7 linked regions of the Ovis aries genome follow. The protein of the gene in region 1 interacts with the protein of each later gene in a biochemical or structural test. Links are inferred from orthologs where the notes say so. Each region holds a gene or a part of one and is shown in the gene's direction. Other genes may lie near its edges. The genes, in order: EGFR, PTPN11, NCK1, SH2D1A, HBEGF, STAT3 and SHC2.

The links.
Region 2: of the proteins of EGFR (region 1) and PTPN11, one has a biochemical effect on the other in vitro, tested with the Homo sapiens proteins (4 studies listed by BioGRID and IntAct, with this or other methods). The link is inferred for Ovis aries from reciprocal best matches to the Homo sapiens genes EGFR and PTPN11.
Region 3: the proteins of EGFR (region 1) and NCK1 form a complex in vitro, tested with the Homo sapiens proteins (2 studies listed by BioGRID and IntAct, with this or other methods). The link is inferred for Ovis aries from reciprocal best matches to the Homo sapiens genes EGFR and NCK1.
Region 4: the proteins of EGFR (region 1) and SH2D1A form a complex in vitro, tested with the Homo sapiens proteins (2 studies listed by BioGRID and IntAct, with this or other methods). The link is inferred for Ovis aries from reciprocal best matches to the Homo sapiens genes EGFR and SH2D1A.
Region 5: the proteins of EGFR (region 1) and HBEGF form a complex in vitro, tested with the Homo sapiens proteins (2 studies listed by BioGRID and IntAct, with this or other methods). The link is inferred for Ovis aries from reciprocal best matches to the Homo sapiens genes EGFR and HBEGF.
Region 6: the proteins of EGFR (region 1) and STAT3 form a complex in vitro, tested with the Homo sapiens proteins (2 studies listed by BioGRID, with this or other methods). The link is inferred for Ovis aries from reciprocal best matches to the Homo sapiens genes EGFR and STAT3.
Region 7: the proteins of EGFR (region 1) and SHC2 form a complex in vitro, tested with the Homo sapiens proteins (2 studies listed by BioGRID and IntAct, with this or other methods). The link is inferred for Ovis aries from reciprocal best matches to the Homo sapiens genes EGFR and SHC2.

The regions. Positions count from the first base shown.
Region 1 is NC_056072.1:1,092,638-1,096,900, reverse strand, and holds the start of EGFR (epidermal growth factor receptor), read left to right. Parts: upstream 1-1,463; 5' UTR 1,464-1,625; coding exon 1,626-1,713; intron 1,714-2,371; exon of another isoform or gene 2,372-4,263. UniProt on the Homo sapiens protein: Receptor tyrosine kinase binding ligands of the EGF family and activating several signaling cascades to convert extracellular cues into appropriate cellular responses.
Region 2 is NC_056070.1:61,907,378-61,910,877, reverse strand, and holds part of PTPN11 (tyrosine-protein phosphatase non-receptor type 11), read left to right. Parts: intron 1-379; coding exon 380-447; intron 448-918; coding exon 919-1,070; intron 1,071-3,500. UniProt on the Homo sapiens protein: Acts downstream of various receptor and cytoplasmic protein tyrosine kinases to participate in the signal transduction from the cell surface to the nucleus. Positively regulates MAPK signal transduction pathway. Dephosphorylates GAB1, ARHGAP35 and EGFR.
Region 3 is NC_056054.1:252,892,419-252,895,918, reverse strand, and holds part of NCK1 (cytoplasmic protein NCK1), read left to right. Parts: intron 1-1,884; 5' UTR 1,885-1,902; coding exon 1,903-2,128; exon of another isoform or gene 2,129-3,500. UniProt on the Homo sapiens protein: Adapter protein which associates with tyrosine-phosphorylated growth factor receptors, such as KDR and PDGFRB, or their cellular substrates. Maintains low levels of EIF2S1 phosphorylation by promoting its dephosphorylation by PP1.
Region 4 is NC_056080.1:108,291,088-108,295,299, forward strand, and holds the start of SH2D1A (SH2 domain-containing protein 1A), read left to right. Parts: upstream 1-1,412; 5' UTR 1,413-1,587; coding exon 1,588-1,724; intron 1,725-4,212.
Region 5 is NC_056058.1:49,205,813-49,209,741, reverse strand, and holds the start of HBEGF (proheparin-binding EGF-like growth factor), read left to right. Parts: upstream 1-1,129; 5' UTR 1,130-1,400; coding exon 1,401-1,446; intron 1,447-1,645; coding exon 1,646-1,819; intron 1,820-3,929. UniProt on the Homo sapiens protein: Growth factor that mediates its effects via EGFR, ERBB2 and ERBB4. Required for normal cardiac valve formation and normal heart function. Promotes smooth muscle cell proliferation. May be involved in macrophage-mediated cellular proliferation.
Region 6 is NC_056064.1:42,164,038-42,167,537, reverse strand, and holds part of STAT3 (signal transducer and activator of transcription 3), read left to right. Parts: intron 1-1,196; coding exon 1,197-1,355; intron 1,356-1,498; coding exon 1,499-1,591; intron 1,592-2,467; coding exon 2,468-2,527; intron 2,528-3,500. UniProt on the Homo sapiens protein: Signal transducer and transcription activator that mediates cellular responses to interleukins, KITLG/SCF, LEP and other growth factors. Once activated, recruits coactivators, such as NCOA1 or MED1, to the promoter region of the target gene.
Region 7 is NC_056058.1:40,808,936-40,813,204, reverse strand, and holds the start of SHC2 (SHC-transforming protein 2), read left to right. Parts: upstream 1-1,469; 5' UTR 1,470-1,506; coding exon 1,507-1,971; intron 1,972-4,269. UniProt on the Homo sapiens protein: Signaling adapter that couples activated growth factor receptors to signaling pathway in neurons. Involved in the signal transduction pathways of neurotrophin-activated Trk receptors in cortical neurons.

The DNA.
Region 1 (4,263 bases):
TAATGGACAATGGATCCATGCTACTGCATAAATGTTTCCTCAACAAAGGCTTAGGTCTCAATCTGTGGCCCTCGTGGAGTACATGCCTGGAACTTCTGTGAGCAGGTCAGCTATGAGAAGTACCCCTGGCTGCACTCCATGCCCACTGCTATGTGCCCCGTGCTCTTCTCTAGCAGACGGTGCTTTCCTGTGGCTGTTTTTTTACAAACCACTTTAAGTCCTTGCTTGGAGTGTTTGGAGGGGACTGAAGCCATGGCCTGCAGAATCTACACAGCCTTCTTCATCCAGGGGCTGGATGAGTTCAACAGGCTGAGTGGTCATCCTGATTCATTAAAATGAAGGAATAAACACAAATAACTCTAAATTTCCAGGAGCCCCAGGTTCCATGGACTTGCTGCCTGGGAAGGAAAGATGCAAGGTCTGCTCCTCCCCATAGGAAAGATCCTGCTCTAACTCCACTTATTTTAAGTTTGTGATTCCAGCTTAAATATCAGGGAGTCCAGAACTAAACCACCTGAATGTCACAGTGGCTCTTGTGAAGAAAAGGAGTCTGACTGTAGAGGGTGGAGGAGTCTGTCCAGGAGGAAGAGGAGCAGTAGGTTAGGGTGGGCTTTGCTGAAGGAATTTAGCTAAAAAGATCCTGCAGCCTGAGAAAGCCTAATTTCTTCCTGCCCAGTCCTTAGTGGGTTTCTCTGTCTTTCTCTTGCTTGAGTTACACCGTGGTGTCTCTGGGCGGATGGGCATCTAGCTAGTATTTATATTAAGCCTTTATTCTAAGCGCTTTGACTTTCTGAAGCGATTTACTTCATGGAACCCTGGCATACTCCTTCGGTGTCCACGCATTCATTCAACAAACATTTTTCCAAGGCTAGTCTCTGCCAGGAGTTGGGTGTCCTTGTTTCGTTTGAATTCGAGGGTGCTTGACGCGACCTGAAGGACCCTCGGGCTGGAGAGCGCATCTCAGAGGCCAGGCACCCACCCCAGCCACGAGGGCGCGGCTAACGAACGTCTTAGCTGCTAGGCCACTTTCGATCCCCACTGAGATCCCAGGGTGCTCAGAGGAGTTGGGTGCCGGAACAAAGCGGTGGTTTCCCCCCAGGCACCCTTATCTGGCCTTGGGCCTAGGGCTCAGCCAGTTTGCCTGGAGTTAGTACAAGTTTGCTCCGCAACTTGGAGGGAGAAAGAGGGGGAAAAGGCAACTTCGGCACAAAAGTGGCTCGAAGAAGGCTGGATCAGGGAGACCGCAGGCGCGTCCGCGGGGGACGCCCGGCTCGGCTCCTCACGGCCCCTCCTGGACACCGGGCTCCTGGGGCAGCCGCTGTCCGCCGCCCCTAGTCCTGCCGGCCGGCGCTCCTCGGGCGGGTTCCTCCTCGGCCAGGCGCGCCGTCCGCCCCTCCTCCCGGGCCCTCCTCCTGCAGCCCGGCCTCCCCGCGCCCCCGCCCCCGCCTCCGCCCCAGCGAGCCAGAAGTCCCGGTGGCTGGCGCAGCGCGCAGCCTCCGCCCCGGCTCGGTGCGCACGCCCGCGGCCCCACGCGAGCCCTGTCCGTCCCGCGCCGCCGTGTCCCGCGCCGCCGAGACCAGCGCACGGCGGCCGCTGCGTCCCGACCGAGTGCGGAGCCCGGCGCGATGCGACTCTCGCGGGCGGGCCGCGCGGCGCTCCTGGTGCTGCTGGCCGCGCACTTCCCGGCGAGTCTAGCGCTGGAGGAGAAGAAAGGTAAGGACGCCCGCGCCGCCGTCCTTCCCGTCCCGGGCGGCCGCGCTTTCCGCCGGGCTGCGGAGGAATGCGCGTCTCGGTTCCGGGCGGCGGGGCAGCCTCCGGCGCGGGGCGCGGGGCGCGGCGGGCCGCGGCGCCCGCAGCGCGGCTCTCCCCTCTGCTCTCCTGCCCTCCGCGGGCTGGACGCCCAGGCGAGCGCGTCCCAGCACGTGCGCCCACAGTCTGCCCGGCCCGGGGGCCGAGGGGGGACACGGAGTCCACCTCGCTCCCTCGGACCTCCAGGACCGGAGCGGCCCTCCGCGCCCGTCCCCGCACCCGCGCCCAGCCTCCGGTCAGGCTCCCGAGCCGGGGAGCCATCCTCCCAGAGCTGCCTTAACCTGGAGGCCCGGAAGCTCGTTCCGGGCACCGGCCACCTGTGCTGCGAGTCAGCGAGGGCCGAGGTACCCGCTGGCCCCAGGGGGCGGCTCGCACGGCGCCTCCACACCCGGGTGCGGCCCGAGCTGCCCCCGCCGTCCGCGCCCCTCCGGCGGTGGACTCTCCTGAGTGGTGGTTTCCCGGGACTCCCGAGACTCGCCCCCACCTGCAGCCCGTGGGCCGCGTGTCCCGGCTTCGAGGTGGATGGGACGGAGGGTGGGACAGGCCGTGGCCAAACAGCCGGGGCTTGGTGCGAACGCCCCAGAGGGGGGAACCCATCCTGGCTGGTTCTCCATGGTTTCAAAACAGGGCTCACAGCAAGCTTTCCTCCTCAAAATCCAGAAATTTTTGTGTCTGGGATGTGTTTTCTAGTTTTGAAGAATTTGACATTAAGCCAACCAAAATATTAAACTTAATTTAAATAAAAAAAATTGATGTCCGTGATTCACGTGTGCCAAATATCCAGACCCAACATGAGCGAGTCTGGCTTCGTGACTGCCGACCATAAACCCACTTGAAATGAGAAACATGCCTCAGAAGGTTTAATTGCCCAATTTCAAGATCGAGCAGCTTGGGTTCCGAGAGTCAGGTCTGTACTTGCTGTTGAGGTCATTGGCACAGGGTATGGTGCTGAGCGAGTTTGATGCGGGAGCGCTAAGGCATAAAGCAGTGGTTCCCAAACTTTGTTTCAAATTAGAATCACTTGGGATTTGAAACAGAACAAACGAAAAACGATGTCTGGCTCCCACCCCCAGACTTTGTCATTTCACTGGTCTGGGTTGAGACCTGATTGTATGAATTTTTAAAAGCTCTTCAGGTGATTCTGCTAGGCAGTCAAGTTTGGAAATCTCTGGCAACAGAGGTGAAATCTCTGGCAAGATTGCTGCCAATGTAAAAAGCTCTTTGGGAACATCTGGAGTTTTAACAATCTTGCAAAGGAAAGAGAATGATGATTTTATTTAAAAAAGAAATTAGTTTTTTCAATGAAAGTCTCTCCTCCTCTGAGTCCCAGGCTGTGGTCCAGCTCCTGAATCTGTTGACAACAGGATTCCCGCCTGAAAGCAGGTGGCAAGGGGACCCCATCCTTATTTTAAACCCTTGGAGTGCCTCCGAAGCATCACTTTTCTCATTTCAGAAATGTTCCCAGCTCTTTGCTGTTACCCTTCTGAACACTACTATTAATGCTTAAAGATTCTTTTCTAAGAAATATATAAATACCACTTAAATTGCCTGTTAGTCCCATGTTTGTTCAAAACAGAATGCTTCTGAATACGATAGTGAGAGTAGGTGAACAAATGTTAAAGTAACGTCAGAAGACCAAAATGTACGGGGCAAATTATTAACAGCAAGTGTTAAAGACCTGTGTTGATCAAATTTGGTAAGTTTTATTCTAGAACATTTACTCATTTTAGAGAGGCTTCTTTGGTTCTAAGATACAGTGTCCTTTGTTCTCACTGCACTTGGTCCTGTCGGACACCGTTTTAAATGTCCTTTTAATCTTTACATCAACCATACAAGTTGGCTCTTGTCATTCTATGTGGGGAAACCGAGGTACAAAGAAGTAAAGTGACTTTCCCGCAGCTTGCAAAAGGCAGATGTTTGTTTGTTTACCTGAATTTTTAAACTCTGGCCCTCTGACCCTGGAGCCCTTCCCTGGGTGCTGCCTGTGTTGATTTGTTGTTCTGGTTTTAGAGGAGCTCTGTCGGTGTGTGTGATGTAGGATGCTGGCAGAGGGAGGAAGAACACTGGGGATGAGGAAGCCTCCTGCCCATGGTCTGGACTCCTTCTCCCCGTGCTCAGGAGGCTCCTTTTGTGGAAGAACTCTGTCACAAAGTGAGCGATGAATGTGGAGATTGCTGGAGGAATGTGGAGCAAGCTCCTTGCTTTTGAAAAACAGAAAGGGGAAGGTGCTGCTCCAGAAGTGATCGTTCATGGTATTCTCAGCTAGGCCATCCGGCCCGGCCCCTCCTCAGATGATATCCTTGGCTCAGTAGATCTGGGCTGTATAAAAGAGAACAAATTTGGGGATTTTGAATCGTATCCAGGGTGAAGCCTCCCTTTCTTTAAGGAGACCAGAGGATGCCCACTCAGTACTGGCCTGAAGGCCAGGAGCCTGTGTCCTCATTCCCATGCTGT
Region 2 (3,500 bases), on another chromosome or scaffold:
ACATTATTTATTCAGTTCTATAAAAGCTCCCTTTTATTGAGCCCTTGCTCCATACCAGCATCTGCATCAGTTGTTTTTCACCCATTACTGATATTTGATACTCACAATAGCCCATTTCACAGATGATGAAACAGAGGGTCAGAGAGGTTAAGGGATTTGCCTCAGGCACACCGTGCTGGAGAAGCTGGGCTCCAAGTGCAGGATGGACTGAGTCCAAAGCCCTGGGCTGTTTGCTAATATGTTCGCAAATATAAATAGACAGTCTTATAAATACTCCCAAGAGCAGACATTGTTTCGGTTAGTATTAATAGCTTGGTTTTGAGCATAAAACCCTCATGAATGACTCCATTGTCCTCGCTCTTCGTCCTTCTGCCCACAGTGCTGGAATTGGCCGGACAGGGACGTTCATTGTGATTGATATTCTTATTGACATCATCAGAGAGAAAGGTAGGTCATTTGGAGGGCAAGAAGCTATGATTCCTGTTTTCAGTTTATGCAAGGAAAGTGCTAGTGAAAATAGCCTGCAGAAGAAAATTGAACGTTAAAGTATTTTCACAAAAATCTAGGCCAGAGACTTCAACTTTCAATGTGTTTGCCCAAGAACAGAAGTGATGCTGTTTGAGCTTTTGGCATAAAACACAGCCTAGGAGAGTGGTGGTCTCTGTCCATCTGCTCGCTCTTTGCTGATGGTACAGGGTGGTGGTGTAACCTGTGGGGTTCCTCACTGCCGACCCCTGACCCTATAATCTTCTAGGATCGTTGTTGTTGGTCAGAAGGCCAATGCCGTAGCCCTTAGAACAGCTTCGGTTAAAACACGAACGTGTAAATTTGCTTTATCTCTGCTCAAAGTTGTGCTTTAAACTGCTTCACCTTGTCTCTGCAGTTTCTCCTGATGCTCCGTGGTGCTTTGCTTTGTAGGTGTCGACTGTGACATCGACGTTCCCAAAACCATTCAGATGGTGCGGTCACAGAGGTCAGGGATGGTCCAGACAGAAGCACAGTACCGATTCATCTATATGGCCGTCCAGCATTATATTGAAACACTACAGCGCAGGATTGAAGAAGAGCAGGTACCAAGCCTACACGGCTGACATGTAGATTTTTGGTGTTTTTTTCTGGACAGCTTGGCTTGGATATGCTCTCCTTCTGAGAGAGAATACAGGCTTTGCTAGATAACTGTCTTTATCTGAAAAGGAGAAACAAGTTCCCAACCAGGAAGGACCTCTCTGGAAATGAATTATTCCCTACCGCACAACTCTGATTTTTCACTATGGCGTAGCTCAGGGAGGGGCAACAAGCCTGACAGATGGGTTTGGGATTTCCCCAGGTTCACCTGGTAGGCTTAGAACTCCAAGCCTCAAAGTTTCCAGCCTGTTCCAGTTTTGATCCAGGCCTTATTCATCCTGATTCCATCTCTTAAATGAATGCCTTACTCTTTATAGCACATGAGGGTTGGACCCACCAGTGTGGTCAAGTTGGAAACAGAAACATTTCCATTTTTAATAAGCCATACATAATGAACAGTGTGGCACTGGAGCCTTTCCATTGGAAGCTCTTTATAACACACAAAGCTGAGTTCCTGAGGACTGAGGAGACTGCTCTTTTGGGAGCTGTCCTTAGCTCACTGCCCACCCCCAACCCCAGCCCCATCACCGTGCTGCTCACTGGATAGATGTGATATCTAAACAGTGGTATTTGCCTTCTTTACCCTGTTTATCACCTTCTGGAAAATTCAGCTTCTCAAAAAGGGGACCTACAACCTTACTGAAAGGCTTCTAGCCTAGCAGCGCAGCGGCCACGTTATCAAAGCGTGGTTAGCCCGAGTTAGTTAGTTCAGCAGGTTCTCAGTCCATGCACAAATACTCACTAGGTTGTTTCCTTGTACAAAAACGTCTTCAGAAACAGTGTGGATATAGAAAGGCATGGTCAAATGATTAACAAGCTCTGCTGTGGTTTTGAACTTTACCGCTTTAGGTTGTTGTCTTAATGTAAGTGCTATGAACTTAGAATAGAACTTAGAAGTGTTAATCTCTCTGTCATGTCTGACTCTTTGCAACACCATGGACTGTAGCTCACCAGGCTCCTCCACCCATGGAATTCTCAGGGAAGAATACTGGAGCGGGTAGCCATCTCTTCTCCAGGGGATCTTCCCGACCTAAGGATCGAACCCAGGTCTTACGCATTGCAAGCAGATTCTTTACTGTCTGAGCCACCAGGAAGCCTTTAGATGGTTACTGTAGGCTATTTCATATTCACCTTCCCAAATCACACTCCTGATTTGGGCCAGGAGTACTTACTTAAAGCATGAAGTTGCCTCAAAAGAAGGACTTCTAATAAGTAGAATGCAGTACCACTGGTACAGATGGGAAATTACTTGGGAATATTTTGAAGACCATAAGGTCGTCTTGTTCAGAAAAGCTGGGGGAAAAGCTCTCTCTTTCATTCAGAAGCTTTGGTTTTGGAGAATTTAGGGACTTTCCCTCCCAGCTTATCTGGCACTTCACGTCTTCCTGTTACTTACCGTATATGGTCCCTCTGACCCTAAATCTGAAGTTGTAATTTGGATTTAGGAACTAGTTAAAACCAAAATACCTTTATTGCTGCCCTTTTGTTGGGGATGAGAGGTAGGGGAGGTAGAATCACTTAAATATTGCAGAATGTAGACTATAGAAATTGGATGTCCCCAGGAATCCCATCCCAAGAGTACCGAATGAGTATGTGTATTCGTCCACTCAGCCAATACTTGTCAGTGCCATTATGTGTCAGCGCATTAGCTATTTGGTATATGAACCTTTGGATTTAAAAGAAAAATATGTAGGCTAAGATTGTATTTGTGTTTTTAAAATTAGATTTTGTGGGGACTTCCCTGGTGATCCCAGTTGTTAAGACTCCATGCTCCTAAGGCAAGGGTTACAGCCTTGATTCCCTGGTCAGGGAACTAAGATCCCGCATGCCAGAGTGGGGCAAAAAATAAATTAAAAAAAAAATCCACTAATAAAAAGAAATAAAGTAGATTTTGTGGTATGTTGTTTCTTTCAATATACTGTTTGATTCAATGTAGGAACTTGCTACTTGATTTGGGACTAGAGTAGGAAGTACTTTAATTTAGTAGGTTTCAGTGGCAGACTTAAAAATATTACACCCATCTGATTTTTAGATTAAGCAAACGAACAAAACTCATTCAGCATAATTAATTATGCTGAAATCCAGGTATTTCCAAAATTATTAATATGAAGCATTAAGGACCTTTGGGAGTAAAAGACTGCTACAGAGGAATAAATGGAAAAAAAGAAAATGACAGTCAGAGGTGGAGAGCAGGGTAAGGGAAGAAGAGACACCAAGGCAGCGTTGGAAGGAGGAAATGCAAAACAGAGGTGGGAATCTAGGGGAAATGCAAATGAGCAAGACTGAGAAAATTTTCCAGTCTTTATATACCGATCTCACACTCTGCTGTTTATTTGGAAGTTGATTTCTTTTGTTAACTTCCATTTACAGTATTA
Region 3 (3,500 bases), on another chromosome or scaffold:
TTTATTTTATTTTATTTTTGAGGAAACTATCTTGTTTTTCATGGTGGCTGCACCAATTTACATTCCCACCAACAGTATAGGATTTTTCTCCACACCTTCTCTGGCATTTATTATTTGTAGACCTTTCAATGATTGCCATTCTGACTAAGGTGCGATAGTGCTTCATTATGGTTTTGATTTGCATTTTCTAATAGTTAGTGATGTTTAGCGATGTTGAGCATCTTTTCATGTGCATGTTGGCCATCTATATGTCTTCTTTGGAGAAATGCATGTAAGTCTTCTTTTGATTTTTTTTTTTTTTTTTACCGAGTTGTATGAGCTGTTTGTATATTTTGGAAATTAAGCCCCTGTCAGTTGCATTGCTTGCAGATGTTTTCTCCCAGTCCATAGGGTATCTTTTTGTTGTGCTCGTGGTATCCTTTGCTGTGTAAAAGCTTGTAAGTTTGATTAGGTCCTATTTACTTTTATTTCCATTGCCTTGGGAGACTGACCTAAGAAAATATTGGTTTGATTTGTCAGAGAATATCTTGCTTATATTCTAAGAGTTTTATGGTGCCATATCTTATATTTAAGTCTTTAAGCTATTTTGAGTTTATTTTTATGTATGGTATTATGAGAGTGTGTTCTAACTTCATTGATTTACAGGTAGCTGTCCAGCTTTCCTGACACCACTTGCTGATGAGACTGTCTTTTCTCCATTGTATATTCTTCCCTCCTTTGTTGAAGATTAATTGACCATAGAGATGTGGGTTTATTTCTGGGCTCTCTATTCCTTTTTTCATTTTTTAGTCTTGTCAGAACTATATCCATTTTTTAGTCATGACATCTAACTTTGTCTTGAGCCTTTCTCCTATGTCTTTGCTGTTTCATTAAATTCTGCTTTTATTTGTATTATTTCCTTTTATCTGCTTTTCTTTATGTTCTTTTCTAACTGAAAACAGATGATCTGTTCATTAATTTATTTTTAACTTTTCTTATTTTTCTGATGTAACTATGTATAACTACAGATCTCTTTTTTATATACCTCTTTTGCTGCATCACACAAAGTTATTCGTATAGTCTTTAATTTTACTTATAAGTATTTTCAAAATTCTGTTAAGATTTCTTCTCTGACTCATCAGTGTTTGTTATTGTTTTGCTCAGTAGTGTCTGACTTGGTGACCCCATGGACCATAGCCCACCAGGTTCCTCTGTCCGTGGGATTCTCCAGGCAATAATACTGGAGTGGGTTGCCATTTCCTTCTCCACATCAGTTTTTAGAAGTTTCTAAACCTATAAGATTTTTCAAAAGTTATCTTTGTTACGATTATCAGAGAATATGATTTAAGATACCAAGTACACAAAAAATGTGTAGAGATTTTTATGGCATTTGATTGGATTTTGTACATACTCTTGTTTGTGTTCTTCTGTGAAGTTATATTTGCATATGTTTATTGCATCAGACTTAATAGTTGCAATGTCAGTTCTTCTTTAACCTTTCTGATTTTTTGTCGTCTTAATTTACTACCGAGATAAATATGTTAAAAGTTAAACCTTTATGACAATGGATTTGTCAGTTTTTTTCTTGTTTTGTCAATCTATTTTGGACCTATATTAATAGGTATACATAAGCTTAGCTGTTACATACATATATTGAATACAGCCTTTTATCGGGATATAGTGACTTTCTTTATCACTAGTGATAGCTTTGCCTTAAAGTCCTTTTGTGTGTTATTAATATATCTATACCAGTTCTGTATTGATTAGTATTTGCTTGGTATTTAATTTTTTTCCCTGTTTTTATTTTTTAACCATTCACTACTTTAGGTTCTTAGGTGTGTTTCTCTTGACAAGCATGTGGACAACTTCTCAACCTTACATAAAATATTTTCTGTGTGGTTGCAGTGCAGAAGGTGCTGAACAATGGCAGAGGAAGTGGTGGTAGTAGCCAAGTTTGATTATGTGGCCCAGCAAGAGCAAGAGCTGGACATCAAGAAGAACGAGAGACTGTGGCTTCTGGATGACTCTAAGTCCTGGTGGCGAGTTCGAAATTCCATGAATAAAACAGGTTTTGTGCCTTCTAACTATGTGGAAAGGAAAAACAGTGCCCGGAAAGCATCTATTGTAAAAAACCTAAAAGATACCTTAGGTAAGCTATTTTTGTTTTAAAACAAGAACAGCAATACTTTCTTTCTAGTGAATGCTAGAAATTGGTTCTTTGTAGAATTTTGGCATCAGTGGGCAGAACTGACTAGAATATCCCAAGCTGAGATTTCAGCTAGGCAAGGTAAGTTTGGCTCATAGCAAGGGTATTCAAGTCAGGTGTGTTCAAAAAGACCAGTGAAGGTCATTTTCTGTAACTCTAGCTAGTGGAACTCACTCTGATTTTCTATCAGGGGCTTCTTGAGCCGTAGGTACCTATTGGAGTTTAGACAGATTCTCCATATAATTAAGATGAGGATAAATGAATGAGATGCAGAATATCCTCCTTGTCATTAAGGTCACTTATTTTACAGGATACATTGATGGATTTTACATCTAATGGCTTCAGTTCAGTTCAGTTGCTCAGTCGTGTCCATTTGCGACCCCATGAATCGCAGCACTCCAGACCTCCCTGTCCATCACCAACTCCTGGAGTTCATTCAGACCCATGTCCATCAAGTTGGTGATGCCATTCAGCCATCTCATCCTCTGTCGTCCCCTTCTCCTCCTGCCCCCAATCTCTCCCAGCATCAGAGTCTTTTCCAATGAGTCAACTCTTCGCATAAGGTGGCCAGAGTACTGGAGTTTCAGCTTTAGCATCATTCCTTCCAAAGAAATCCCAGGGCTGATCTCCTTCACAATAGACTGGTTGGATCTCCTTGCAGGCCAAGGGACTCTCAAGAGTCTTCTCCAACACCACACTTCAAAAGCATCAATTCTTCGGCGCTCAGCCTTCTTCACAGCCCAACTCTCACATCCATACATGACCATGGGAAAAACCATAGCCTTGACTAGACGGACCTTAGTCGGCAAAGTAATGTCTCTGCTTTTTAATATACTATCTAGGTTGGTCATAACTTTCCTTCCAAGGAGTAAGTGTCTTTTAATTTCATGGCTGCAATCACCATCTGCAGTGATTTTGGAGCCCCCAAAAATAAAGTCTGACACTGTTTCCCCATCTATTTCCCATGAAGTGATGGGACCAGATGTCATGATCTTCGTTTTCTGAATGTTGAGCTTTAAGCCAACCTTTTCACTCTCCTCTTTCACTTTCATCAAGAGGCTGTTTAGTTCCTCTTCACTTTCTGCCATAAGGGTGATGTCATCTGCATGTCTGAGGTTATTGATATTTCTCCTGGCAATCTTGATTCCAGCTTGTGCTTCTCCCAGCCCAGTGTTTCTCTGATGTACTCTGCATATAAGTTAAATAAGGAAGCTGATAATGGCTTGCATTTTGATATTTGCTTTTAAAAACAAACTCTTTTTGTTCTTATATTTGATAAAAGAGTTTTAAGTTGTGGATCGTTACCATATATTAG
Region 4 (4,212 bases), on another chromosome or scaffold:
TCTCAAGGAACTAGGTGTGACATTGTTGAAGAGACACAACAGACAACATAATTTCAGCTACTTAAATTTTAATTTTAAAAAGTATTTTACAGGGACTTCCCTGGTGGTCCAGTGGTATAAGATTTCACCTTCTGATGTAGGGGGTGTGGGTTTGATGAAGACCCCCTGGAGGAGGGCATGGCAATCTCCTCCGCTGTTCTTGCCTGGAGAATCCCATGGACAGAGGAGCCTGGTGGGCTACAGTCCACAGGGTTGCAAAGAATTGGACACAACTGAAGCGACTTAGCATACATGCATGGGAAGCTAAGATCCCAGATGCCTTGCAGCCAAAAAACCAAAGCATAAAACAGAAGCAATATTATAAAAACTTCCATAAAGACTAAAAATGGTCTACATCAAAAACAATCTAAAAAGAAAAAGAAAAGTATGTTACACACTCAAAAGAAAAAATGTAGAAGAGCATTCAGCTTCAAACATTAAACAAGGTCTCGTTCTAGTGAAAAATGAGGAAGTTTGGGGGAAATATTACTTAACAGCACATCTTGAAATACAAGAGAGAAGGAAACAAAGGTTGAAAGGTTCTAAAAAATTTGATAGCTTAGCATCAATTGAACAAAAACCATATTCTCTACTAACTACAGATGATAAAAGATACAACGCAATTATCAACACTCACAATGGACTTAAGTTTGATGTCCCAAATGCTAAAAGGTAGGCCCTGTATGTCAAAAGGCACAGACAAGTCCGCATGAAGGCAAAACACCAATGAAATGATTTATTCTCTCATCTAAGGCCCATCAAATAGATACATCTGGAACATCTTTGGACACAGACTGATTTTTGTACCTCAACCAGCACTTTGGGATCTTGGACAAGAAGCCTGGAAATGTTTGATTTGTTCAGGATCAAGATTGCTGGAGATGACTAGGAGGAGTCAAAGAGAAGGGGGAGGGTTTGGGGAGGGGAGGCAGTGGATCCCAAGTCCGCTGTTCACTTCTTGCCTCTGATTCCCTAGGAGCCTCCTGCCTGTGCTCAGTGGGGATCACCCACTGACAATACTGATGACCTCTGTGTTTTGGTCTCAGAGCTTTTGGGCCTTTCATTCTCTGTCAGTATGTTTCTGCCCCACATGAAGATCAACACGGCTTCCCTGTCTCATTAACCCCTTTGGGGACTATTTAAGCTAAGTCAGGGTGGCCTTCCTGGGAAAACTACAAGGACAGAAACATTACCAGGCATTCGTGTCTGCATGCATTGGGAGCACAGGCCACATCCTGCAAGGACCTTCTTCCAATAGTCCTCCCCTCTCTGTCCATCCATCCACCCCAACCCTTTTGTGGCAGAGGCGGAGCAGAGAGGGGAGGGGGGAATTGAACCCTAGGGCAGTAGCCAAGCTGCTAAACTGCTGACCTGGTTTTCACTGAAGTGCGAGAAGGAGGCTGTGAGGCAGGTAGACAACATCCTGTTGTTGGGGCGCTCCTTTCTCTTTTTTGAACATCTGGCTGAACAGGGAGGCAGGTGGCTGAGTCGTGCCTGGTTGCGGCGGCAGCAGCAACAGCGGCCTTTCCCTGCTACTGTCCCCTGGCCATGGACGCGGTGGCTGTGTATCATGGCAAGATCAGCCGGGAGACGGGGGAGAAGCTCCTGCTCGCCACGGGCCTGGATGGCAGCTATCTGCTGAGGGACAGCGAGAGTGTTCCCGGCGTGTACTGTCTGTGTGTGCTGTGAGTACATGACGGGGCCCTGGAGCCCCCACTGCCCACCGTGCGGCTCACGTCCCTCACTGGGGTTGTCTCGCCTGGGCTTCCTGCTCTTCAGAGGGTCTTCTCCAGCGCCTTTGGGGGCGGCTGTAGGAATGCTCTTTGCAGTGGAGGAAAAGGAGCCTAGAATTTACCTTTGCTGCCAAAAGGACTCAGGCTCCTGGCTTCAGGTTGGACCTCTGGTAGAGGCCAGCAAGGTGGAGGCCTGGGATGAGGGAATGGCCAGATATAGGGCCACCAGCTCCTCAGAGGAGAGGCCTTTCTCTCCAGCCCTCTGGCAATGGCTTTGAAGGTATCTTCCCAAAGGAAGATTTCAAATTCAAGGAGAGGAAGAAGACTAAGAAATGGAATCCTTTAAGACAGCAATACCAGTTAGGTCAGGATGTGGGAGAGAGGGACGTTTCTGAATAAAACCACCTCTCTGGATTTGCTTAATTAGCTTTCTTTACAGGAGTTGGAGGGGGGTGGGGTGGGGTTTCAGAAATAGGGCCTTTCCGTGATAAACGCTGGGAGAGACAATAGTCGTAAAGGACATGGAGGGAAAGCACCCTGGTATGATTCAGCTTTGCCCTTTACCTAAGCATCTCTTGGTCTAAAGCCCCATTTTGAATCAGATGCACCTTCATCTTTGCTCCAGGGCTCCAGGGTCAGGCAGAGCTAAGACCTAATCTTGTGCTAGTCTGATGCTGGCTTTGGCAAGTTAACCTCACAGTCCCTCAGTTTTCTTGTCCAAAAAGTGTAATATTACTACCTACCTCATAGGACTGAGCATTAAATGCTGTAATGCACGTAGAAAATTTAGCACTGGACCTGATGCATACTAAGTGTTCAGTAAAAGTAAGCTGTTGTTGTTATTATTTTTTCACTCTCTTTCAGTACTTTTTATTATAATATATTATATATATATATAAAATGTATATATATTTCAGTCAATATCTTTAAGTACTCACGGGGTGTTTCTAAGGAAGTCCCTAGCTCAATCACTCTTTGTTAGCAGGGTAAAAACACTCATGAAAGCAGCAGCCCTGTACAGTAGCTTCTAGACAGAAACAAAATGAGGGAAAATGCTTGGTTGTAATTTTGGTGTCTGATGATACATGGCAAGATTTTGAAGTTCCTTTAGGTCATTGATGAGAGATTGTATTGAGCCTGGTGTTAGAGGATTTTCATTGTTTATTGTATTATTTTTAAATGGGCAAGGCATATTTGTGGCAACTCTCAGGCCATGCTAAAAACGTTTGTTATAAAAGCTACAAGGGATATATGTGCAAGCTAGTGAATCCCTTGGGCTCAGATTTTAGGTTTTCCTTATATTATTGTTTCTCGAAAGTGAAAACTGGGGTAGGTCAGTGAAAGCCAACTCGTATTCCTAGGCTCTTTTCTTATCAATAGAAGGTGGAGGAGTGAGTGAACTGGTGAGAGGAGCTTCTTTAGGAAAGCTCACCAAAGGAGGTAATGGGACCCTCAACCTAGAGGTAAAAATTAAGGTACAAAAGGCCTGGGAAGGGAAGGAAGAGCCGGGGACAGTGTGTGGCAGGATGTTCCTAAGACTTCAGACGCACTGGCCTCTTTGTTGTTTCTCGAGCTTGCCAAGCTGCTCCTTGCTTAGGATCTTCACACTTAACTGTTCCTTCTCCCTCTTCTCTCAGAGAGGACTTCCTTGACTAGCCTCTAAAATAAGTCCCTTCTCCCTGTCCCAGTTATAATCTGTCACTTTAGTTTTCTTCTGGGAGCTTTCAGCTGTCTGACGTTTGCTTGTCTACTTTTGTCTTGCTGGGCTCTCCTGCTACAATGTAATCTCTCTGGGGCAGAGACACCATCTCCCGCACCAGGAACACAGCCTGGCATGCAACAGGTATCATGAGGCATGCAACAGGCACTCAATAAATGTTTCTGAATTAATGAATGAACTGTCAAGGCAAATTCTTTATGGCAGTAGGCTTTTGGGCTGATATCAGGAGGCCAGGATGTGGCCTCTGGGACATCACTCAACTTTTGTAGGTCTTGGTTTCCATATTTCTAAAACAAGAATAATAATGTGTGCTCTATCTTCTGCAGAAGATTATAGTTGGTAAAAGATGCAAGAGAGAAGGATAATCTTAGCCTATTACTCAAATTGGCCAGGGCCACGTAAGGAATTAACTTAGACAGATGGGAAATTCGCAGATTAAGTTTTTGTCCAAAGTGAATCTTGCCTAAATGCAGTTTTTATGACTGTAGGTTCTCCATGCAAACCTTTTTATGAAGTAGCAGAAAATAGTCGGCAAATTGGGAGTCCCCCTAACATATCTTTCAGTGGGCACACTGGGCCTCCAAGTCCTAGAGGCTAATGGCCAGACTGCTGCAGAGGGAAGACACAATGATACAGTGCCTTTTATGACAGTTTCTCAGCTTTTTTTTGAGCCAAGGATCCCTTCTGATAAACGTAAACATTTCATTTCCTCTTTTTTAG
Region 5 (3,929 bases), on another chromosome or scaffold:
GGCAGAGCCCCATGGACTCCTGCAGAATTATGGATGGGGAGGGAGAGTGGAACAGGCTGTGTATAAATAGCAGGCCTGTTTTTATCCCTACACATGGGCTGAAGCAGGCAAGCAGCTCTATCTGGCACAATTTGAGGGCTCTGAATGCCAACCCAGCCTTGTGTCATATAACTCCCGCCCCAGCATGTCCCTGGGAGCTGAAATGCCTACTGAGAGAGTTATTTCTTTGGGTTAGGACATTGACTCCAGAGGACTTCTGTAAAAATACATAGATTGGAAGAGAAACACATCAATCTCCTGGCACCTGTTGAAGGTGGCAACCTAGGCCAGCCAGCTGGGTCCTGTGAGAGGGGGCTCAGCTTTTCTGTTGAAGAAGATGGCATTCAAAGACAAAGAAAAGTATGAAGCTTTTTCACAGCCTGTGTTTCTTCAATCCCAGAAGCCTGGGAATTATAATCCAGAGTTCAAAAATCCTAAAGGAGACTATGTCATCTGGGACAAAGATGGAAAGAAGCCACTCCGGTGGATGAAAGAATACTAACTTTCTTTGCTTTTTCTGGGTTGATACCAGATGACTGCAGCTGCAACTCTGGTAACCTTAGGCTTACGACACTTGCTGGCATTCATGTGTTTAATTTTTAAGTGATAAATGAATTAATTATTATTTGCTCCTTGATTTGTGGGTAGGCAAAGAAGCAGGTTTCTGAAACTCAGAAGAAGACATGGGCGGAGGTCTCTGGTTTAGAGCACGGATAACCAGAGGGACCAGGCCTGGAAGAGAAGCAAGAACGAGGGGTGTCCAAAGGCGAAGCGCAGCTCAGCGGTCACAAGGCTGCCGCGGCGGACCAGCATTTGGGGAAAGGTAGGAACTGGTCCCCGCCACCTGCCGGTCAGCAGCCCTACCCACAGTCAGGCCGCGGCTACACTGGCCTAGTCCCAAAATATGTGAGCGCCGCCCCTTTCTCCCGCCCCCTTTCCCCGCCGCGCCCGCGGGGTCGGGGGCTGAGCGGTCGGCGCCTGGAGCCCGGCCGGCATCCCAGAGCGGGAGGGGGGAAGGGGCCGCGGGGGGCGGGGCGGAGCCTCGGCGCCTCCTGGAGCCTTATTCCAGGCTGCACGCCGAGAAGCGCTCAGTCGACCCAGGGAGCTGCGCGCGGCAAGCGGCTGGCTCTGTTGCTTGAGGCACCAGGGCTCGGGCGGTCGGACAGACGGAGTGAATAGAGAGACGCCCAGCGGCCGGGAGCTCCGCGCAAATCCCAGGCAGGCTTGCACCCAGAGGCCAGCAGCCGACCGTGCCCGCCGGGATCTCCAGAGATTCTCTCGCCCGGCTCCCGTGCCAGCGTCCGGTGGCCGCCGCCCCCCAAAGTGATTGCTGCCTCGCCTCCTCCGCCGAGTCCAGGACCATGAAGCTGCTGCCGTCGGTGGTGCTGAAGCTCTTTCTTGCTGCAGGTAAGCGGGCTGCCGCCGCTCCCGGGGGTCTGGGGGGATGGGGACTCTCTGCTGGGGGCACAGGGGAAGATCGCTGCAGCGTCCCCGGCGTGAGCCACTTGGTGGGGCCCGTGCTCCCTGGCTGGCTGGAGCCGGCCGCGGTGCATGGCTACTGGGGTCTGGGCTGGGGGTCTGAGGCGGCCTCGCCCCTTTCCCGCAGTGCTTTCGGCGTTGGTGACTGGCGAGAGCCTGGAGCGGCTTCGGAGAGGCCTGGCTGCTGGAACCAGCAATCTGGACTCCCCTACTCAATCTACGGACCAGCTGCTGCCCGCGGGAGGTGCCCAAGGCCGGGAAGTCCTGGACTTGGAAGAGGCAAACCTGGACCTTTTCAGAGGTGGGTGTGGGGGCTGCCCATCCTCGGACCCTGGTGATCAGTTGAACTATCATAGAATCTGGTATTTATGCCGATTGGGCACACCTGTGGTTTGGGGCTTTTCAAGAGAGGACTTCAAGGAAAAGCCTCTTGGCCTGACAAGCTCCCTGGGGGATCCTAGAACGTAGGTCCTGTTGTCTTTCTTGCCCTCCGGTCTCACATGCCACATTGCTGCCCTTCTGCATACTTGGGGGCAAATTGAGACAGGCAAGGTGCTTGGGTTTTGTGTGTTCTTCTCTGAGGTAAGCTGGGTGACAGGAACAAGGACTGGTTGAGATGCTTTCCCTAGAGTTTCTATGTAAAAATGTGCACAAGATCTAATTTCCACATTAATTGACTATTATGTATAAAATCACAGATGTGGAGATGCTAGGCACATACAAGGTGTGCAGGATTAGTCTCCATCCACCTGTCTCCAGGTTTGGGAAACCGTGGGGAATGAGGAACACTTGGTCCTGCCAGGTGAGGCCAGCACTCTTGGGGAGGCTGTGAATGGTGAGCACTGGAACCCTAGAGAGCTGTTTTGATATGCTGGGTGTCCACAAGTCCTTCACAAGGCTGGATACTTCCTGACCACTTGGAGACCCTGAGAAGGGCTCCAGAGGAGGAAGGGCCAGGTGGGATCCTTCAACCAGCAAAGGTGCTGTGGCCAAGTACATACAAGCACAGGGCAGAGTCCAGAGGCTCCAGTATTGCCTGCTTTCCTGCCCCCAGTCACCTGCAGAGATTCTTGAGGGTGGAGCTGGGACTGAGCCCTGGAGCCCTGGAATGACTATATTTGGTTGGAAAGATACCCACCTGTTCTAACTCCGCCTGCTTCTCTGCCACGCTTCTTTTTCCTTACCCAGGGATTCCCTTAGGTGCTGTCCACGCCAAAGCTGAGGCTGGGCTCTCACTTTCCATCCTCTCACAGTAGCCCTCTAGGGGGCGGGGGTCACCCCTGCCTGAACAACCTGGATTCTCCTGGCCCTCTCCTAGGCAGGGCAGAGCTGGGCTGTGACTCACTCTCCACCCACACAGCTGCTCCTCATACCTCGCAGACCTGACTCACTGCTCTCTCTCCCCAGCAGGAGCTTGGCTGTCACCCTGTCACTCTCTCCCTCCCTTTTCTGATTGGCTTGTTCTTCCTGCCTCAGTTTTACCACAACTGTGGTCACTAATTTCCTCGGACCATGTGCCTCTTCTGAGTTCTGAAGGGGCCTGGGTATGCACTGTAGGAGCAGGGGACTATGGGACTATTGGCACCTGTCTCTTCTCTTTCCTCAGGTTTGCTGGGCAAAGACTATTTTTCAAGTCTAGGGATCCTGTCACCTGAAATAAGTAACTGTTACCATTTACTAAGTGTCTCCTGTCTTCTAGTCACTTAACATGTTATTGTGAATTAATTAATCCTGCTGCAACCCTCTGAAATAGGAAAGCCTGTTCACTTTTCACCAAGAACCCCAAGGTTCAGAGAGATTAAGGGACTTGCCCAGGATCACATGACTGTAATTCGAGCACCATTCTGCTGACTTCAGAGCCCATTCATTGTCTGGTTCCTGGCTCAGCATCCCAGGTGCTCTGGGCTTGTCTGGAGGAGGACACTGCTGGGGTGTATGAGGCAGCTTAGTGTGTTGGGGAAGAGTGCTGGATATGGAGTCCAGAGACCACATTTCAGATCCCAAACCTGCATGATCTTGGTCAAGTCACTGCCTTTTGGGACCTCAGGTTTTTCATCTGAAAATGGAAAGCCATATATTTTGAAGTAAATTCTACTTCCAGAATCCTAAGCCTTCAGTCTAATAATGTATGATGTTCATCCCTCTGCCAGACATGTGCCTATAGCCATAGACAGCAGGCACCTTTTCTTCTGCTGGGACAGGGGAGGGAAGACTGGCGTCAGACCCCTGGGCTGATGGGCATAGCCCAAGGTCAGTCCCAGCTGGATGTCTGTGTGAGATTGTTTTTCCCCTTTGAAGCATGGAAAGAATGGAGAGAGCCATCATTGTTCTAGTTCCTTTTGATAGTTCTTTGCTCTCCGTCTTTCTGCCTCTTGGGCACCCCATCCTAGAAAGCAATAAACAGGACATCT
Region 6 (3,500 bases), on another chromosome or scaffold:
ATAGCTCTACATGAGATGCCTGTTTGTTCATCTAACTAACCCTGAGCTTTGCTCATTGATTGAAAGCAGTTTTAAATGCTTTCTAATCAGGGAACCAAATAACTTATAAGTTCTAGGAATGTATTGAGATGTTTCTATAACATCTTATGGGAAAACCAAGCAAACATTTTGGCCAACCCAGTAGGTGCCAGAAGGGAGTCTGTGAGCTCAGGAGTCCTGGTGCTGTCCTTCTCCACCCCTTGCCTTCCACTCTGTCTCTTTGGGGTCTTTACTAAACTAGTGGGGGACCATCAGAGAGAGCCACTGATATTCTCCCTCCTTGGGGGCAGACATAATCAGCCTTTGTCTCCCTGTCTACTTTTTCTGTATGCATGTTATCAATATTTGGAAACTAATGTCACATCCAGTCATCCATGGAAGATGAGGGCTCCTGGGGATCGTGCAGTTCAACCCTGTCTCTCAGGCAAGGGGATATCAAGGCCCACGAGGGTGAAGGGACCTGGTCAAGCTTGCATAGACAGTGAGGGACAGAGCTGTTCAGACCTATCTTTTTGGGCTGTCAGATATCCTGTGTTTCCCCAGTACTCACATTTGGTACAAAAACAAGTTAGGCTGAAGAAAGTGAGCACCAAATCCCATATTTCATGTTCTAATGTGTTAACTTTCCGTTGGTTACCTCACTCCTAGTGGTGTAAGTTTTGGCACGTCTTCCTCTGTGTCTGCCTCCTTCTTTGAAAAGTAAACTTTTAGGAAGTGAAATGAAGGTTGCTTAGTTGTGTCCAACTGTTTGTGACCCCATGGACTGTAGCCTGCCAGTCTCCTTGTCCATGGAATTCTCTAGGCAGGAATACTGGAGTGGGTAGCTGTTCCCTTCTGGCAGGCCAAAGTTAGGACTTGCTACTTTCACTGCCAGGACCGGGGTTCAATCCCTGGTGGGGATCCTGCAAACTATGCTGCATGGCCAAAAAAACAAAAAGGGCAAAATAATTTTCCCTTTTCTAATCTAGTGCCACTCAACTGTGTATTTAGAAATGGTCAATGTTATGCTACTCATATATTCCCATAATGAAAAAAATGCTCCTTTCTTATGTCGGATGACTGCATGAGAGTACCTGTGGTATTATTCCCTTCCCCTTCTCCAGCTCATTTATATACAACCACTTAGGTAACCGAGAACATCCTTATCCTGTTGGCAGGATAACCTCATTAGCAGAATCTCAGCTTCAGACCCGCCAGCAAATTAAGAAACTGGAGGAACTGCAGCAGAAGGTTAGCTACAAAGGGGACCCCATTGTACAGCACCGGCCAATGCTGGAGGAGAGAATCGTGGAGCTGTTTAGAAACTTAATGAAAAGGTAACATAGAGCCGTTGCCCGTTTCCCCCATCACCTCCCCCACCAATGTTCTTCAACGAGAGCTTGTTCAATTTCCGAGGAACGGGACAGGGACCAGCCCACTGCGTCTTGTGTGACCCACTGCCTTTCTCTGTCCCCTCCAGTGCCTTCGTGGTGGAGCGGCAGCCCTGCATGCCTATGCATCCTGACCGGCCATTAGTCATCAAGACCGGTGTCCAGTTCACAACTAAAGTCAGGTGGGCTGCGGCACCTCCTCTTCTGGCAGATGTTGTATCAAGGGACACCCTCAGGGCCAGAACAAAGTTGGTGGGCAGTTGTTCTTTACAGCCGTCGCAGGCAGTACTGTGATGGATAGGGAATTTTTTGGTGTAATATCAACTTGCTCTGTGATTGTCCTGTCAAACGCTAAAGAACAGGAATCTCTCTGAGGTTACCTGGATATATTCCTATGATTCGGTTGCACTGTATTCCTGATTCCAGGCCTAATGTCTTAGGTCATAGCATCTCCATGTACCATTCGAAAGGAGCAGAATAATGCCAGTTATCTTCTATTCTTTGAGCCTACTTTTTCCTGAGCATTTGAAGGGGAAGAGTAAAGCTTAGTGATAGTAGACACTAAGAGGTCACAGGGCCGGTGGGTGGGGGACCTGCAGGTAGAGAATTACTTTCACATTCAAGTCAGAACAGGTAAGCTGGGGTTTGCCCTTCTGCAGTGAAATTTCCCTCCTCAGAAAGGTAGTACGCTGTTGGGTTTCCGGTCTAATAGAAAGAATACCGATTTCAGAGCATGTATTCCTGTAATGTTTTTCATGATATGGCTTTCATTATCCTTTTGTGTGTCTCTCATAACTTTGTCCAAGTTCTTAGTTCTTAGGCTTTTTTTTTTCAGTCCCTTTTGGCCTGAAGGGGGTGATGCTTGGCTTAAAATGAAAGGAAGCACTGGCAGGAAGAAAAATTTGGGATTATGATTCATCTCTTTAGAATTGAAGAGTTATGAATTTTAGATTCAACTAGAAGTTGCTGGGGGAACCTAGTGGCTGTTTTTTAAAACTGGATTTTTTTTCCTTTGCTCTGAAACTTTTTTCCTCTTTTTTTTTTTTTTTTTGACATAGATTGCTGGTTAAATTCCCTGAGCTAAATTATCAACTTAAAATTAAAGTGTGCATTGACAAGTAAGTACTCTTTATCTTAGCTCCTTTTTTTCTTCCTTTTCTTCAAATGAGGGACAGAGAAACGAGAACTTTGATAGACATCATGTGAACTTAGAGGCTTTATCTATATTCAGAGATCTTCGGGTTTTTTTTTCAAGTTTTCAAAAGCCTTGCTGTACATTGTCATTTACGTGCCTGAACAAAACCACGAAGCTGGCGGTAGCGATTTGAGTTGTGATTGCCATTGTGACCTCAAGTCCCTCTTTCTTTGTTTTTTCACTTATAAATGTAACTTGTGCCTATTATGTAAAATTGAGAATATATGGAAAAATTGATTTTAGTTGTTGTTCCACACTTTACCACATAATGGAATCCTCTTCCAAATTTGACAGTACCTTTTAAAAAATTAAAATGCACTTACCCTCTGAAGACATTAGGAAAGAGAAAATGTAGGTGATATAATTATTCATCTGGAAATTCCATGAGAATGAACTAGAAAATAGTTATGCAGCCAGGGACTTGAGGAAGGTGGTAGGTTTTATAAATGAATAAGCAAAAATTAATGACTTTAACCATGAATTAGCATAAAAAATCACCTTCTCACTAAAAAAAACTGACCATCAGAATAAATTCTAGATGTATCTTAAAAGCATAGGCAAGGACTTCCCTGGTGGTCCAGGGGTTAAGAATCTGCCTTCCAGTGCAGGGGACACAGGTTTGATCCCTGGTCTGGGAAGATTCCACATGCTGAGGGGCAACTAAGCCTGTGAGCTACAACTCGAGAGTAGTCCCTGCTCACCGCAACTACAGAAAGCCTGAGCACAGCAACAAAGACCCAGCACAGGCAATAAATAAGTAAATAAGTTAATTAATTAAGATTTTTTAAATGAATAAGCAAATGTGTCATGTAATGGCAGTAGAATGGCAACCACTTTTAGAGAACAGTTTGGCAGTTTCCTGAAAAGTTAAACTTGCCCCTATCCTACAGCCCAAC
Region 7 (4,269 bases), on another chromosome or scaffold:
GAGTTGGGGGTCAGCTCTCTCCTACTTGGCCCCTCTTCCCCAGCCTGGGTGCCAAACCTCAACACACACCCTTCACCAGACTAGGTGGACACATGCCAGGAGCCCCTCTACACACACCTGTTTACACACTGGGACCCCTACACACACACCTGTGTACACACCAGGACCCCTACACACACAACGGTAAACATACCAGGATCCCCCAACACACACCTGGACGGGGACCCAGACTCCCTCCTCTCTCACACACACAGACACACACACACACAGTCACATCCGCACAGAATATACACACAATGCAACTCTCACACAGTCCACTAGTCTGTAAGTCTGTAGTCCGCAACAGAGACACAGCACAGAGCCCAGGTGGGGGCTGCAGACCCCAACAAACGTCCTCCGACCCCCTCACTGACCCAGGGCCACGCCCCTCCCAGGCCGCGGGAGCACAATAGTTCTCCCGGCTGGAGGCTCAGGCCTCCCGCCGCACCCCCGCCCCCGCCCCGCCCCGTTCGCCGGCCAATCACGGCCGCGCGCGCGCGAGCCTCCGGCCCGCATCCCCAGCCTCCTCCCCCGGCCCGCGGGCGGCTGCCGAGCGGTGATCTCACCACTCTAATTTATCGATCCGGTCTCGCGCGGCCTCACCACTCCTTTGCTTCCATCCCCACCGGGTCCGGCTCCGGCCCCCTCCCTTTGTTTCCCGGCAGCCGGCCCAGCACGGGGCGGGGCTGGAGAGGCCGGGGGGACCGGCCAGCCCCCGTCCTGGAGGCTGGGTCCTGGGATTCTGTGGGGTGGACGCTGGAAGCGGCTCGGCAGAAACGCAGCAGGAGGAGCCCGAGACCCTCTGGTCCGCTCCCCCGGCTTACAGCCGGGGAAACTGAGGCCCAGGGCGAGGCCGCGTAGCGGGGACTCGGCTCGCTCGGACGCAGCCAGCCGGACTGGGTCCAAGTGTGCGCTGTGTGCCCCAGAGCACACCCCTTCCCCTCGCTGATCTCAGGTTCCCAGTTACAAAATCTAGCAGGGCCTGATTTTCAAGTACCTCCTCCGTCAGCAGCAGTGGGAAGGGAGGGGGACGACCTGGGGGTCCGGGGCGCTCTCCTGCCTTGACTGAGCCTCCATTCCTCTCCAGACCTCAATTTCCTCCTTTCGAAAAGAGAAGAAAGGAGATTTCTGTTCCTCCCACCTCCGTCCTTTTAGGAACTTGGGGGACCTGTGGGGGGCTAAGTAAGGGGCCACCGCCCGGGTGCTGGGTTCGAAACCTCGCTCCCTCCCAGGCTGCAGACCCCGATTTAGCCCCGTGCCTCCGGCGGGCCTCAGTTTCTCGTCTCCCCGCCGGGCACCGGGGCGCCGAGGGCCGGTGGTCCCAGGGGCGCAGCCCCCCGCGGCTGCGCGCTGGGCCGGACGGATGACATCACCGGGCCGGGGGCGGGGAGCGAACGCGCGGGAGCGGGAGGGCCTCCTCCGCACCAGGCGCAGCGCCCGGTCGGGCTCGGTCCGGCGGCCGCGGCCATGACGCAGGGTCCCGGCGGGCGCGCGGCCCCCGCGCCCCCCGCAGCCCCAGAACCGGAGGCGCCCACCACCTTCTGCGCGCTGCTCCCTCGCATGCCGCAGTGGAAGTTTGCGGCCCCCGCTGGTTTCCTGAGCCGCGGCCCCGCGGCGGCGCGGGCGGCGGGGGGCGCGGGGGCCGCCGACCCGGACCCCGAGCCGGCCAGCCCTGCCGGCGTCCCGGCGCTGGCGGCCGCGGTCCTGGGCGCCTGCGAGCCGCGCTGCGCCGCGCCCTGCCCGCTGCCTGCGCTCAGCCGCTGCCGGGCCGCCGGGGTGCGGGGACCGCGGGGCGCGCGGGGGGCGACCGGGCCCCCGGATGCCTCCGCCGACGACTGGATCCGCAAAGGCAGCTTCATCCACAAGCCAGCGCACGGTTGGCTACACCCGGACGCCAGGGTTCTGGGGCCCGGGGTCTCCTACGTCGTTAGGGTGAGTGCGTCGGCGGGACCCTGGGACCGCGTCCTCCCCCGAGCCTCCGTCTGGACGCGGGGGTTCCCATCCCCCACTTCTCTCTCTTGGACACTCTGGACCCGGGAAGCCGGGTGTCTGTCCATCTCTCCTCTCGCTTTCACCCTAGACCCCAACTGCCACGCCGTGCTCTGCTGGCCACCCCAATCCAGGAGGCGCTGGGGTCCAGGTTCCCACGGCGTCACGTGGGGAGGGGCGGGGAGAGGGCGGCTGGTGGGAGGGGGGCACGCATGCGCAGGTTAGGCGTAGCCCCCCATTTCTTGGGTGAGACTGGGGACGGAAGACGCGGGTGGGGGCGGCCGGGTACCCAGATCCCCACTGAAAACTCCCTCTAGACAGAAGGGTCGGAGACCGTGGGCAACGTGGGGTGCAGAAGGGCCGAGCCCCGCTAGGTCCCTAATTCCAAGTGAGAGATCGCGGGGCCTCGGAAGGCGCTGCAGAGAAGCAGGTCTTTATTTGTCCTGGTTTTATATGAACGTCTGCCTCTGTGGGTAGTTTTGATGAACCATCAGGAAGCGGCGAGCGGCCCGTGGGATGCCTCGCCGTGAAATGCTTCCTCACGCCCCAGGCTACCGGCCACTCCGCCCAGCCACAGTTCGTTGTCACATCAGAGTCCGATGTATATTGACAGCGTTTCAGTCTGGGCTGGGGACCAGGATCCTGGAGTCCTGTGTCTTTGCGTGTGGTGTTTTGTCTTCGCTTCTTTTACAGCCTCCCTCCACCCACCCCATACTAGGTTGACTAGTATTCCTCAGATTCCTGACCTTCTGAGCCTGAGAATATGGTTTTATGTGGAAATGGAGTCTTTGTCGATATAATCGAGTTAAGATGACGTCACACTGGAGTACCGCGACCCTACTGCGATCTCTGCTATCCTCCTAAGAAAAGGGAGATTCGGACACAAACGCTCAGGGAGGGGCCCCGTGACAACAAAGAGAGAAATGGAGTGACGCACCCACAAATCAAGGGGCGTCCAGGGTGGCCGCGCGCCACTGCCAGACGCTGGAAGAGGCTGGAAGTACCCTCCCCTCAGGGAGCAGGGCCCCCACCATGCCTGGATCCCTGGCTTCCCCTCTCTAGAACTGTAGGGCCAGGCTTACATTTCTGTTGTTTTAAGTCCCCAGTTTGTGGTGCTTTGTTGAGGCTCTCAGTGGCCTTGACTTTCTGCACGTCCAAGTGTGGTCCAGACAGGCCCGCTGCTTCCCTGGGAGTGGGTTAGAAAGGAAGAGCTTTGGACTGGCCAGCAGGCCTCAGGCTGCCTCACATTCTAGACCTGCTCCTCTCTCCTGGAGTCTTCTGACTTGATCATGGTCCCTTCTTTTGCTGAATGTCAGCTTCGCTGGATTCAACACTGATTTTGTAGCGAGATGTTTCCCAGGCAATGCCTTGGGCTTCCCACTACATCCCCTTGGAGGCCGTGGCTGTGGGGATTAGAAGTGCTCAGAATTCAGATGCTCATGTTGTTGGGGTGCAGGCTTTTGGACTGTTCCAGTGGTCTGGACGTTGCCATCGATGCTGCAGACATTTATTAATAATGCATGCCAGAGCCTGCCAGGTGCTGATGGCATGCTAGGAAATGGGGCCCACCCATCTGATCCCTGCTCTTATGGGGCTCAGGTTTCTAGAGGGAGAGACTGATGGTAAATAAACAAGAGATAGACAAACAACAGGCAAGTGGCAGATATTGGCAGGTGCTGTGCAGAAATTCCAATCAAGTGATGTCAGAGACTGCTGGCTGCTCTTAGCAGGGTTGGTGGGTGGGGTGCCCCTCAGAGATGACATTTAGGCTGAGCCCTAAAGCCACGGAGGCCCTAGGCATGAAACAACTGGGGAAAGAGAATCTGAGGCAGGGGCTCAGCTGGCAGGTTTGGGGACTGGCCGGAGACCCATGTGGTGGGGCCGGTGCAGAGAGAGGAGCACAGGAGTAAGATCTGGGGGCTGTGTGGGCAAGCTTGGCTTTGGATGGTTCTAGGCAGGGTCACAGAGCAGCGTTGGTGCTGAAAGGAGCTTTCCTGTGGAAGTGGGCTGGGGTGGGGTTGGCAGGGCAGCAGAGAGAGCCAGGGGGTGCTGGGGCACTGTTGGGGGCACTGTTGGGAGATGCCCTGGAGCAGGGCAGTGTGGGGGTGGGGAGGAGGGGCTACAGCGTCTGTGCTGGAGATGAGCCCTGATGTGGCTGCCCTGAAAGGGGGACAGGTGGGGAGTCTGAATCAGCCCCAGTGTCCGGCTCTGTTCCCCTGGGAGCCTCAGTCTCTGCAGCCA